Linked DNA regions of Pelodiscus sinensis. The protein of the gene in region 1 purifies or fractionates together with the protein of each later gene. This does not show direct contact. Links are inferred from orthologs where the notes say so. Each region holds a gene or a part of one and is shown on either strand. Other genes may lie near its edges.

What was found.
Region 2: the proteins of TOP2A (region 1) and ZNF451 purify together in Homo sapiens (affinity purification with mass spectrometry; 3 studies listed by BioGRID and IntAct, with this or other methods). This does not show direct contact. The link is inferred for Pelodiscus sinensis from reciprocal best matches to the Homo sapiens genes TOP2A and ZNF451.

What each region holds. Positions count from the first base shown.
Region 1 is NC_134739.1:10,730,891-10,737,988, reverse strand, and holds the start of TOP2A (DNA topoisomerase 2-alpha), read right to left. Parts: upstream 3,010-7,098; 5' UTR 2,921-3,009; coding exon 2,861-2,920; intron 1-2,860. UniProt on the Homo sapiens protein: Key decatenating enzyme that alters DNA topology by binding to two double-stranded DNA molecules, generating a double-stranded break in one of the strands, passing the intact strand through the broken strand, and religating the broken strand.
Region 2 is NC_134713.1:44,287,656-44,294,926, reverse strand, and holds the start of ZNF451 (E3 SUMO-protein ligase ZNF451), read right to left. Parts: upstream 3,004-7,271; 5' UTR 2,870-3,003; intron 1,663-2,869; 5' UTR 1,660-1,662; coding exon 1,576-1,659; intron 1-1,575. UniProt on the Homo sapiens protein: E3 SUMO-protein ligase; has a preference for SUMO2 and SUMO3 and facilitates UBE2I/UBC9-mediated sumoylation of target proteins. Plays a role in protein SUMO2 modification in response to stress caused by DNA damage and by proteasome inhibitors (in vitro).

The sequences.
Region 1 (7,098 bases):
AAGGTCCACCTAGCCCAGTATCCAGTATCAGCTGACAGTGGCCAGCGCCAGATGCCCCAGAGGGAGGGAACACAACAGGTAATCCTCATAAAGCGGCGAGGAGTCCTGTGGCACCTTACAGACTAATTGAAGTGTAGGAGCATAAGCTTTCGTGGGCAAAGACCCACTTCGTCAGTGTCTTATGCTCCTACACTTCAGTTAGTCTATAAGGTGCCACAGGACTCCTCGCCGCTTTTGCAGATTCAGACTAACACGGCTCCCCCTCTGATAGGTAATCCTCATGTGATCCTTCCCCTGTCACTCATTTCCAGACAGACAGAGCCTAGGGACACCATTCCTACCATCCTGGCTAATAGCCATTGATGGACCTAACCTCCATGAATTTATCTAGTTCTTTCTTAAACCCTGTTAAAGTTCTGGTCTTCATAACCTTCTCTGGCAAGGAGTTCCACAAGCTGACTGTGCACTCTGTGAAGAAAATCTTCCTTTTGTTAGTTTTAAACCTGCTACCTATTAATTTCATTTGGTGACCCATAGTTCTTATGGGAACAAGTAAATTTTTCCTTATTCACTTTTTCCACACCAGTCATGATTTTATAGACCACTATCATATACTCCCCTTAGTCTCCTCCTTTCTAAGCTGAAAAGTCCCAGTCTTTTTAATCTCTCTTCATATGCAGGGCTCGACAATTCGTGTAATCTACTCGCTCATGGCGAGTTGATTACAAGTCGGCACAGCCGCAGAGTGTGCTCAGTGGATGCGCAGCACGATCTGCGCATGCGCAGTGTGCCAAACCGCGTGGCTGGCGAGCAGGGCTCGCGTCACTTGGTGAATCCTGTTCATGTGGAACCCATTCCAAACCCCTAATCATTTCTGTTGCCCGTTTCTGAACCTTTTCCAATGCCAATATTTCTTTTTTGGGATGAGTCGATCACATTTGTATGCAGTATTCAAGACGGGGGCGTACCATGGTTTTCAGGGCCAGCCTTAGGCCAATTCAGCCGATTCCCCAGTGTGGGGCCCTGTGCCTGAGGGGGTCCCGTGCCCAGGGAAACGACGGATGCGCAGTGCACCAGGAGCACACCGCTTGCGTGGGGCCCCTGGACGCACGGCACATGCGTTGTGACATCCCGGGCGCATGGCACATGCGCCATGTGCCCGGGGGGGGGCCATGCATGCATTGTACTCCCGGGGCACTGCGCATGCATCGTGACATCTGGGACGCACAGCGCATGCGTCGTGCCTCTGGTGTGCGACGCATGCGCCATGCCGCCCGGGGCCCCGCGCATGTGCGGCCCCGTCCCAGGAATCGGGCCCCACGCTCCATAGAGCTGGCTCTGATGGTTTTATATAGAGGCAGTAAGATATTCTCTGTCTAATTCTCTATCCCTTTTTTAAGGATTCCTAATGTTCTGCTTGCTTTTTTGACTGCTGCTGCACACAGAGGCTGTGTCTAGACTGCATCCCTTTTCCGTTAAAGGGATGCAAATTAGACACATCACAATTGCAAATGAAGCGGGGATTTAAATCCCCCCTGCTTCATTTGCATAAACATGGCTGCCGCTTTTTTTCCGGCTCGGAGCTTTGCCAGAAAAAAGCGCCATTCTAGACGGGGATCTTGCGGAAAATAAAGCCTTTTCCAAAAGATCACTTATTCCTCTTAAAATAAGGAATAAGGGATCTTTCGGAAAAGGCTTTATTTTCCGAAAGATACCCGTCTAGACTGGCGCTTTTTTCTGGCAAAGCTCCGAGCCGGAAAAAAAAGTGGCAACCATGTTTATACAAATGAAGCGGGGGGGATTTCAATCCCCACTTCATTTGCAATTGCGATGTGTCTAATTTGCATCTCTTTTACGGAAAAGGGATGCAGTCTAGACACAGCCAGAGTGGATTATTTTGGAGAATTATCCACAGTGATTCCAAGATCTCTCTCTTGAGTAGTTGTAGACAAATTAGTCCCCGTTATATTGTATGTCTAGTTGGGATTATTTTTTCTAATGTGCATTACTTTACATTTATCAACATTAAATTTCATTTGCCATATTGTTACCCCTGGGAATTCATTTCTGCACCAGCACTAGGGCCATTCGGGAGGTGAGATTGCATATTCCTTGTTCATGTGATATTGGAGCGTCAATTTAGTCCCTAGCATAGTCTAGGACTGTGTTTCTCAACCTTTTTTTATAAAGTACCCTTTAAAAAAATTATAAGTACCCCCAGTACCTATAGTTTTCAGAGACAATTTTTTTCTACCATTGCAACACATTTGTTTAAACAACTTAATGGTAGCCGGGGGGGCGATGACATTTTTGGGTGTAAAAAGTACAAAAATAAGAAAACTTAAAACAAAAATTCAGTTTTCTCCAAATTTCAGTTGTGTGGACGTACCCCCCAGACTTCTCTTTAGTACCCCTAAGGGTACTGGTACCACTGGTTGAGAAACACTGGACTAGGACAATTTAGTCCCTCTTGGATCATGGCAGCCAAGAATCAGTAGAATGCAGGGCTGCTCCAACTCCTTCTGCTACACCTGCCCTGCCTTTTCCCTCCTCCAGTGCACCCCCAGCCTGCCCTCTGCACTGGGAAGGAGTGCAAGTGGAGGGGGTCTTCTGCAGATGTTCTTGCTCCAGTGGTAGGCACAGAGACCTCATATACACCTATTCTCTCACTCCTTTGTGGCAACGTGGCCAGCACAAAGGGACTGTGGGGCAGTGACCCATCTGACCTGGTGTTTCTATAGCAGCTTCTACCCTGAGGATCAGCAATCGCTAACCAGGCTTTGCACTGGCAGGGAAGCCCTTAGCCTTGGCCACTGACACCGAATCTCAGACATCCATGGCATTGCACATCTGCCCTTGCCTGGGAACTTCTCCCGGAAGCTGCTGGAGTTTTCCTCATGCCATCGCCCTGCCCGCTCATCTTGCTGTCTCCATCCACTGCCCTTTGGGATGTTGGCAGTCAAGGGAAATGACTTTCCTCCCGCACGGCTGATGGTTTGGGATGTAAACAAGGAGGCGGTCTTTCTGTGCAGCCCGGAGCCCCACGAGGTCATAGACACAACTGCAGTGACCTCATGAGAGTGGATTGCGCCATCTTCCCCAGGGATACGGGCAGTGCCCTGTACCCTGGAAGGGAAACCCTGGCAGCTGTTCAGGATCCAGTTACTGGCTAAAACCAGCTGTTCTCAAGTGCTGAGTGCCCATTAGGAGACGCTCAAGGCTTGACTCACAGAGGTGCTAAGCACCCACAGTGTCAGCAGGGATGAGGAAGCTGCGGGGTCCTCAGCTCTTTCCAGATGAGGGCTTGGATGGCTGGAGCCAGACATCCAAAAACAGCCACTCCCCAAAACTGGACAACACTCTTGAAGGTGAATGCTTCACCCCCTTCAAAATCTCTCTCAGAACTGCCAGCAGAAACTGATTGATCGTTCTTAAGTCAGTGACAATAAATGAGGAGTAACGTTAGTTCAAACCAAGGGGTTTGGTTAGAACGAACGCGTCCCGGTGTGCATGTCCTGGTCCGAATCAGCTGTGATTCGAACTAGTGCATGGTGAGATCTTGCTAACGAAGTGCGGGATATTTAAATCCCCGCTTCACTGATTATTTCGAATGCCTGCATTTTCATCCCTTGTTCGAACTAGGGTGCAAGTGTAGACATACCTTTAGGGTATGTCTACACTAGCTCGTTAATTCGAGCTAGGTAGGGTAATGAGGGCGACCGGAGTTGCAAATGAAGCCTGGGATTTAAATATCCCAGGCTTCATTTGCATGTTCCCGGGCGCCACCATTTTTAAATGCCCCGTAGTTCGAACTCCCTGCCTGCGGCTACACACGGCACAGGCTAGGTAGTTCGAATTAAAGCTCCTGATTTGAACTACTGTTACTCCTCATTCCACGAGGAGTAACAATAGTTTGAATTAGGAGCTTTAATTCGAACTACCTAGCCCATGCCGCGTGTAGCTGCGGGCAGGGAGTTCAAACTACAGGGCATTTAAAAATGGCAGCACCTGGGAACATGCAAATGAAGCCCGGGATATTTAAATCCCGGGCTTCATTTGCAACTCCGGTCGCCCTCATTATCCTACCTAACTCGAATTAACTAGCTAGTGTAGACATACCCTTAGAGACTAACCAAAATATATAGAATCATGAGCTTTCGTGGGCAAAACCCACTTCAGCAGATGAATTAGAGTGGAAATAACAAAAACCAAGATATATATATAATAGTAGAAGTAGTACTTGTCAATTGTAGGACCCATGTTAATGAGGCTAATTAAGTGGGCTGGATGTGTCCCATACATAGATTTTGATGTGGAAATGCAGATATTAATGGCAGGAGAAATTGGCTTTGTAATGCTTCAACCAGTTAATGGCTTTGTTACCCTGGGCCTAAGCCAATTTCCCCTGCCATTAGCATCTGCATTTCCACATCAAAAGCTATGTATGACCAGTGTTAATTAGCCTCATTAACTTGGGCCTTACAATTGACAGAGACGTCTGCTGTTACATTGATCTCTTGATTTCTGTTATTTTCACTCCAATTCATCTGAGGAAGTGGGTTTTACCCACGAAAAGCTCATGTGCTTCTATCTATTTTGGTTAGTCTCTAGGGGTATGTCTACACTACAGCGCTAGTTCGAACTAACTTAGTTCGAATTAGTTAATTCGAACTAAGCTAGTTCGAACTAACGCATCTAGAACTAAAAACTAGTTCGAACTAGCGTTTTGCTAGTTCGAACTAGCAAGTCCACATTGAGTGGACTCTGAACAGGGCTTAAGGATGGCCGGAAGCAGTGCCGGCAGGGCATAAAAGGAGGACTTAGAGCATGGAGATGCTGTCTCAGGCTAGCCGAGGGCTGCGCTTAAAGGGTCCCGACCCCCACCCCGGACACACAGTTCTAAGGGGTGCCCCGCTTGCAAAGAAGTTCTGGCTTGGAGTGCCCTGAGTGCCCACACTGGGCACATCACACCACTCGGCCATCAGCCCAGCTGCACTTGCCGCAGGCTGCCATCTGCGGAGAGGGAGTAATTGGGGGGCTGCAGGAGAGCTTCCACCGTGAGGAGCCCACAGAGCCAGCCCAGTCCTCCCCATCGGGGGCTCGTACCCCATTCCTCCCTCACCTCCTTCCACTTACCCTTCCTTAGCCCCCCTTCTTATTGATGTACAAAATAAAGATAACGTTTCTTCCAACATTGACTCTGTCTTTATTGAAAAAAAACTGGGGGAGACTGGGAAAAGGAGGTGGGAGAGGGGAAGAGAAAGGCTGGGAGAGGGGAGGGCAACTAACATGATCAGGGGTTGGGAACAGGTCCCAGATGAAGAAAGGCTACAGAGACTGGGACTGTTCAGCTTAGAAAAGAGGAGATGGAGGGGGGACAGGATAGAGGTCTCTAAAAGCAGGAGTTGGGTGGAGAGGGTGCATTCAGAAAAGTTCTTCCTGAGTTCCCATAAAGAAGGACTAGAGGACACCAAAGGAAAGGAATGGGTAGCAGGCTTGAAACTAGTAAGAGAAAGTTGTTGTTCTTCAGAAAGCAAATAGTTAACTTGTGGAACTCCTTGCTGCAGGAGGCTGTGAAGGCTACAACTAGAACAGAGTTGAAAGGGAAGTGAGATCAAGTCATGGAGGTTGGGTCCATGGAGTCCTATTAGCCAGAGGGTAGGAGTGGTGTCCCTGCCCAAAGTTTGTGGAAGGCTGGAGAGGGATGGCACGAGACAAATGGCTTGGTCATTGTCTTTGGTCCATCCCCTCCAGGGTCCCTAGGGTTGGCCGCTGTTGGCAGACAGGCTACTGGGCTAGATGGACCTTTGGTCTGACCCAGTACGGCCATTGTAAGCTCAGGGCTCAGGGTCGGGGGTCTCAGTGGACCCCCTTGATTTTCATGCACACCTGGTCCTGGGTGGCCAGGCTGGCAGCTCTCCTGCCCTAGACGGCCACTTTCCTGTGCCTAGTGCGGAGATCGTGGACGAGGTCCACGATGTCCGCACTAGCCCAGGAAGGTGCCCGCCTCTTGCGGTCCAGGGCAAGCTCCCGGGAGCCGCCAGCCTGGTCCCGGCAAGAGGGGGTGGGCTGGGGGGCATCGGGTGGGTGGCTCTGTGCCGTGCCAGGTGCAGGGTCTGCTAGCTGGGTGCTGGCAGGCTTGCACCTGGCACGGGCACCGTAGCCAGCCCGTGCCCCTTTAAGGGGTCCGGGGCCGGGAGGGGGGCATAGAGTTTCCCTGGTGTTGGCCAGAGTGGCCACCAGGGAAACCTGGGGAGGGCTAGCCTCCCACTAGTTCGAACTAAAGGGCTACACAGCCCTTAGTTCGAACTAGCTAGTTCGAACTAGGCGTTAGTCCTCGTAAAATGAGGTTTACCTAGTTCGAACTAAGCGCTCCGCTAGTTCGATTCAAATTCGAACTAGCGGAGCGCTAGTGTAGCACCTATTAAAGTTAGTTCGAACTAACGTCCGTTAGTTCGAACTAACTTTGTAGTGTAGACATACCCTAAGGTACCATGGGACTTCTTGTTGTTTCTGAAAACAAGAGGCTGCCATGCATAAACTGGGATCACGGGGGCTTTGCAATTTGATTCCCCTTGTGAGGAGGTCTCGCTGCTTTCTGGCCAGTACTATTTTTTTCTTTTAAAAATAAAGGCTGCGCTCAGAAACAACCATCCAAGCCCACACCAGCCTGAGATGCCCAGTGCTCCCACACACCCCTGCAGTGCCAAGCGACTATGCGCGCACACAGAGGAGAAAAGATCAGACAAATTAATTGCAGATGCACGTTTGATTGCTTAGAGGGTGTTATATAAACGTCAGTGAGAAGACGAGGTTGTGGCAAAGCATTATGTCACTCCCTCTCCCAGTGCTGTGTCCCTTTGCCCTTCCTGAGTCTGTGACTTCCACAGTCATTTTGGCTTCTGTCGACAGCCTGTCTGCTGGGCTTCACGCCTTCCTGGAGTGTCTGCTGGCTGGGATCAGCAGAGGACTGTACTGGCCACTGCTGTGCCTGGAGGGCTGCTAAGGCAATGCCACCGCAAGGGCAGGCTGTTTTCTGATCGCAAGGAGCTCTGCGGTGCTGACCCTTTGCTTCATGCAGCCTTGGAGGTTTGCTGC
Region 2 (7,271 bases), on another chromosome or scaffold:
CATATGTAGCACATCAAACATTAATTTCTGGCGAATCTCAGATCATTTTTTATAAGTGTCTTAGGCTTTTTAATCTAAAATGTTGCAAGATGATCTTTTCAATCTCCAGGCTGCTGTGAGAGTGTCTGTAGCTACTTGCAGCTTTTCCCCAGAACATCAGACTTAAATTAAACTAATTAATTCCACTGCTATTATCCAGAATCCTATCAGTGAGGGAAAAAACTCAGCTGCACTTTGCTCAGCCAGACAGTGGTAAAAAGGTGGAGCCCTGGAGCAGCCTCTAAGAACTCCCAGGGGCACTTTCTTTTCAAGAAGCTATTGGAATAGTAGGGCTGGGCTTCACATGATCATTGCCCCAATAACTACTGGCACACTTCTGCCCCTTCCATTTTCTATCAGCCTCTGGCTAGTAGATGTCTATTACTCTCTCTATATATTAAGAATGTTAAGTAGCAATTAATAAGCTAATTGAGAAATCGATGGAATTTCCATCAACTACTCGATTAGCTGATAAGGGGGTTATCTCCTGGCAGTGGCACAAGCAGGGACTGAGCAGTCCAAGCTCGTGCTGGGTCTGAGACCACTGTGGCTCTGCTTTTTAAATGTAGTAAGAGCTGAAAGCTGTCCTAAAAAGGAAGATTTCCCTCTATTCTTCCATATTTCCTTCTGTCATAGGACTGCTTCACCGACAAAGAATTTAGGTTCATGTCCATGTAGTATTACACATGCCGCACTCTCCTCATAAAAATTTAGCAACACACGTTTTTAAAAGTTGTGTTCAGGTTTCAACAGGCATCAGTATTATGTACATACATAAATTACATGACAGTGAAGACAGAGTCTTGTGAAAAATTTGACATTACAGGAGGGATTCTGAGTCAGAAGCCACACAAGAGCATTCTATAATCCATTCTGCAACTGTGTGTGTCGAACAGTACTCTACATCCTAACTAAACTGCTATTTGACTTCTACTCCTATTCATCTCCCCTATCTCTATCAGAGAATACAAAGTGAAATTGTGGTGCCATTACACAATGAGCTGCACACCTGACTTCACAAGTAGTCTGACTGAGTACAGTGGGATTACTCAGAGTAATGCTCCATTTTACTGTATCAAGAATATCAGAATATGACCCCCAGTCTATCCACATGCGTGTGTTGACAAAAGCTAGCTTTGCTCCATTGATTCTCTTATTCAACTTTAGCTGAGATGGACAGAACCACCAACTATTAATGAGGTGTGCTAAGGCTCCTTGTGTTTCAGAAGAGTCCACTGAGGAGACTCCTGCCCACCTAGAGAGATGTCATTATAGGACTCTGGCCTCAAAGCAAAACTCTATTTAATGCAGATTTTCTTAACAGAGGCAGATCAGTTTAGTTTAAGAATTAAGCTGCTTTTTGAAAGCAAAGATTAAAGTAGTATTTTCATATGCTCTGAAAATTTGAGTTTTTAAAATTATATCAATAATTTAAGATATAGCTGAGATAATTAACATTACATATTCAATTCTTAGAACATTTTACATAGTTAACTGGTAAAAGTATCTATAGTTATTGAGTCAATATCTACTTACAGAGATAAACTCAATGTCATCTTCACTTTCATCCCGTGTTCTTGATTCACACTTTTGAGCCTTAGTGGAACTGAGAGACTCCATTATCTGAACAAAAATAAGCCAAAAAATGCTTCATCATTGACTTCATTTTCCCCATTGCATAATCATACACTTCTATAATAATTTGGTTAGCTTCCCCTCCCCACCCCAAGCTATATCCCAAAACAAACATATCACCATTGTTAAGTGGTAATTAAACAACAACAAAAGAAATTTCCAAGTAAACAGAAAAAAAAAGGTATTTTCTGATCTAAAATTTGAATACATTAACTATTAGTATTGGCATCTTCCAAGCACTATAAAATATGGCCTTTTCTACACAGGTAAAATACTAACTGGTACTTGTAGTGCAGCAGCTGCACCAGTAGTAGGTAAGCTCCACTACGGATAAAGCTCACGCATTTCTACCACTATGTTATGAAAACTCAGACATGTTTTCATAATATGGTGGTATAGAAGACCAAGCTCTCTCCCTCTATTAATAACATCAATGAACATAAACACCATCAAGGGGCTCATCCACCTGCACATCCACTAATAGGATCTATGCCATCAAGTGCCAGCAATGCCCCTCTGCCATCAATTTTGGCCAAACTGGAAGTCTCTGTGCCAGAAGATAAACAGACACAAATCAGACATCAAGAAAAGTAACATAGTAATACTGTACAGCAGAGGAATATTTGAACCTCCCTGGACATTCAGTAATGGATTTAAAAGTAGCCATCCTCCTTTTTTAAAAAAAAACAGTTAGAAACAGCTCAACTCCGATTCATTTGCAAATTCAAGACAAGCAAATTAGGCCTGAATAAAGGTGTGAACTGGCACTACAAGGCACTACAAGGGCAATTTCCCCATCTTGATAGTCACATCTCCCCATCAGCTGTTGCGGAGGAGCCACCTCCCCAGAGAGCAGAGGAAACAATACGGGGTGACACACAATCACCAGGCGCCACTAGTTCCACCAGCGCCGTTACCCGGCCCAACGGGAGGATACGCAGGAAGAGAAGGGAAGCACGAGCGCGTCACTGCCCTCACCCCCAGTGAGCGACCCCAAACCAGTGACAGGGGCAGGTTGCTAAGAAACTGCCCCCGCGCTCATTATGCGGTACCCTCTCCCCATAATGCTACGGGCGCATTTGGCAGCTGCCCCCGGGCCCGGCCCACAACACAGACGCAGGGCGGTCGCGTGCTACACCCACAGAGGACTTCGCTGCTCACAGAGAGACCAACGGCCCCTTAAACCGTCGCTCACCACGGAACGGTAGCGCTGCCAGGGCCCGCCCCGCCGCCGCCGGACGCATCGGCTCCCCAGCGGCCCATACAACTCTCCCGCGTGAACGCCTGGACCAGCGCGCGCTCGGCTTCCTCCGAACGCGGGGCGGTGAAGACCCGCGCTGCCTGCTGGGAGTTGTAGTTCCTAGAGCATGCCCGCCCCTCCGCAAGCTGGAGCGGTCTTCATAGAGGTGGTGTATGGGAGAGCCAGCACAGGGAGCGGCTAGAGCCCCCAGCAGCCTGCTAGCGCCTCCCTGCGCTCCCCTTCACTGCTGCTGCTGGGCCTTTTCGTTTCATAACGTGTTCAGTGTGTGCACGGCTTACACACAACAATGGGAGTAGGTGACTCAGGTCATGGCATTTGGGATGAGCAAGGCAAGGGAGTAGCTCTGTAACTAGAGAGGACAGAGGGCAAGTCCACACAGCAGGACAAAAGTCAAATGAAGCTGCACAACTTCAGCTATGTCAATTGCATAGCTAAAGTCAAAATAGCTTAATTCAGGTTTTGGAATGCTCTTTCTTCCACTTCCCTTGCTTCTTGTGAAATGAGGGTTACAGGAATTGGAGTAAGAAGTCCTTCTCCTTGCCCTTATTTCGAAATAATGGTTTGCTGTGTAGAGGTGCTCTTTGTTATTTCAGAATAACATCAGTTTATTCTGAAATAACACTGCTGTGTAGACATAGCCAGAGTGTCCTGAAGTAGGGACCCAAGGAGCGGACGAATTGAATTACACTGTAGTTAATTTCTCTGTTAATAAAGCCCAAAACCCAAGGGGATAGTTTTTATTCTACAGTGTGAGGAATTTGTTTTAGAACAGAATGGGTAAATTCCCTACTCACACTTAGAATCAGTGATATCTTGTGGCAATGAGTTTCACAAGCTAATTGTGGATTGATGAGATAAAGTATTTCAGTTTGTTACAATTCCATTTCCTTTTTGTTCCCTTATTCTTGTAATAACAGAAATATGATTGTTTTTATTTTACCTTCTGTGTCCCATTTATTATTTTATTTATTTCTATAATGTCCCCTCTTTATTATCCTTTCTCAAAACGAAACAGTTGCAATTGCTCCTGATAAAAGATTTTACATGCTCTATCATCTACCTTTGGTCTTTTCGTTTTTAGAGAAAGCCCTAAAAAGTGACCTAAAGTGAATTCAAATATTCAAGGTGAACACATACCAGTGTTTGACATAATCTATATATTTTAGAAATGTGCATCTGTCTGTCTGCCCAGGAGATGGCGGACAGGGTGCATGGCCTTCCTGCCCCTGGCCACCAAGGAGAAACTAGAGGGCAGGTTGCACAGTCGTCCCCAACCCCCACTTCAAGGAAAAAGAGGGTGGGTGTTGTGCCCCCTGCCACTCTTGGGGAGAAGCTGCCAGCCCTTCCCATCCCATCCTGAGACCCTGCCCCCCCTCCTGAGTTCCCATCCCTTTCCTCTGAGCTCCCCCTCTTACCAATCCTCTGCCCTGATTCCTGCACCTCTGCCCTGAGCCCCTCCTCACCCCCAGCCTGACTTTTGCATCACCCATGCCTATAGCCTCCTGTCCTGAATCCTGCACGCTGCCAACCCCTTGCCCTGAAGCACCCAGGCAACACCAGTTAAGTCGTCTAGTGATATTATATGTTCTGTATATTTTTTCCATCCTATTGCTTACATATGATAATGTTTCATTTGCTTACTTTCCAGTGAACAAATGTTCTTACTGATCTGTCTTTAAAGAATGATGCACAGGTTCTTTACCTGAAAGATTTCCACATTTAATCTAGAATCCAATTACATGTATGAATAAACAATTTCTTCCGATGTACATTACATTTACTTAAAATTCCATTCCATTCTGTCATTATGCTGACCGACTTTTGTAGGTCCCTTCAGAATTCCTTACAGACAGCTCAGTGCTGGCAAGAACCAGGGGAAAAAGTGAGCATGTGGCTGGCTGCTAGGATGAAGCCTAAGACAGGTGCCAGCAAGGGCCAGGTGGTTGCTGGGACCAAGATAGTTGCTGGAGGAGCAAGAAAGGAGCTCCTGGCTGGCTGCTAGGACCAAGTAAGGTTTGAGCCCAAGGAGGGCCACAGGAAGGTAGTGGCTCCAGGGAGAAAGTCCTGGGAGTCCTACCAAGGTGGGACTACTTAAAGAGGGAGTCTGGGAAGGACTAGAAAGACACCAACCAAGGAGTACTGAGATGGTTCCCCAAGGGACTGTACATCCTGAAAGTGATCTGGTCTGATTAATACACAGTACATGTGACTCGGCCAAAGGGCTGTCTCTGGAAAACTCTGAGAAACCATCAATGGGTTGAAAGACTGCAGACAAACCTAACCAGAAGAGGGCACTAGTGAGAGGCTTGTGCCACCCCATTAATCAGATAAGAGAATATATTAAATACCACTTATTACTCTAATGCAAATGCTTTGAGGTCCTAACAACTTTTGCCATGATGAATATTGGCCAACTATGCCTACTTTTGTTTTCTGTCACTCTGACCAGTGGTTCTCAACCATGGGTCTGGGTTCCCCCAAGGAGCCAACAAGCAAGTTTAAGAGGGTCTGCCAAGCACAGTTGGCATTAGAGGTGCGGGGCCCAGGGAAGAAAGCTGAAGCCCCAGTATTTGGGGTTGGACACCAGGATTCTGAGCCTTGCCCGAGCCCTGTGGTGTCAGGTCCTGGCAGGTGCTCTGCTTATACTCTTCAATGCTGGTCCTAGCTTTTATATGTAGAAAAAAAAAACCAGTTTCTGTGACACAGGTAGCCATGGAGGTTTCATAGCATGCTGGGGGAGGATGAAGAGGGACTCAGAAAGAAAAATACTGAGAACCTCTGCCTTAGACAGTTTCTGATCTGTGACTATTAAGTTATTTAATCATCCAGTGAAAAGAACTCTCTCAGGGTATGTCTACACTACGCTCCTAATTCAAACTAGAAGGATAATGTGGGCATACCGCACTTGCAAATGAAGCCTGGGATTTGAATTTCCCGGGATTCATTTGCATAAACCGGGCGCCGCCATTTTTAAATCCCGACTAGTTCGAACCCCGTGCTGCGTGTAGCCACGTGGCACGGGGTTCGAACTAGCCGGGATTTAAAAATGGCGGCGCCCGGTTTATGCAAATGAAGCCCGGGAAATTCAAATCCCGGGCTTCATTTGCAACTGCGGTATGCCTACATTACCCCGCTAGTTCGAACTAGCGGGGTAGTGTAGACATACCCTCAGGAGCTTGTTGGAAGTTCTGAGTAAATTATACCAAAAAGTTGTTCCTTATGTACATTGTTGTCATACTTAATCATAGTTGGGAAAATATTTTGTTTTTGTTTTTCCCCCACATACAATACCCAGAGAGCCATTGTAACCATGCATTTTTGCATTACAACTGAGAATATTATATTCAGGTCATGCTGCTGAGAAATAGGGCAAATATATCCCCAAATGCTGGTGATTACTCTCCCTTAACATATACCAAACCAGCCACAAAAGTAAATGTCTCTCTCACCTCAATGGCTAACAAGAAGTCAAAAAACAGTTAACGGAGGCATTCCAGTCTATCACCCTAAAAACCACTGAATTTAAAGGCAAGTGGATCTATACAACCAGTCTAATCAAATAAGTTCTTCTGATCCCAAAGGACCAGCCACATACCCAGGGCAATACAGGCAGTCCCCGGGTTACGTACAAGATAGGGACTGTAGGTTTGTTCTTAAGTTGAATTTGTATGTAAGTCGGAACTGGTACATATTGTAGGGGAAACTCTAGCCAAACATTTCTCCAGAGCTCAGTTTTATTCTCCCACACCTCACTTCCCTCCGTCCTTTATTCTCAAGCTGAGATGTCTGCTGAGAGAAGCCGCTCCGCGTCTCCCTGGTCTGCTGGGTGGGGCGCTAGCTTCGCGTCTCCCTGGTCTGCTAGGGGGAAAAGCAGCTAGTGCGGGGTTGCCTCACCCCGTTTGTAAGTAGGGATCCGATGTAAGTCGGATCCATGTAACCCGGGGACTGCCTGTACAGAACTCAGATCTTACCCCAACATCATGCTGTGCCAGTCCTTTAATATCTAAAATCCAAAGGTTTATTTATTGAAAGAAAGGTGAGAGTTAAAATTGGTTAAAGTAATCAAATACGTATAATAATTGCAGCGTTCTTAGTTCAAGCTATAGCAGTGATGGAATAAACTGCAAGCTTAAGTCAAGTCTCTGGTTGCTCCTAAATAATTGGAAGCACCTCAGTCTTTTTGTTAGAATGCTCTCATTGGGATAAGTCCATAGTCCAGAGATTTAAACAGGAAGGAGGCAAAATGGAGGTGTTTCCAGATGCTTAATAGCTTCTGCAAGTGGAGACAATCCCACTGTTTTTACTGTGGAAAATTACAAGATGGAGTCACATGGGC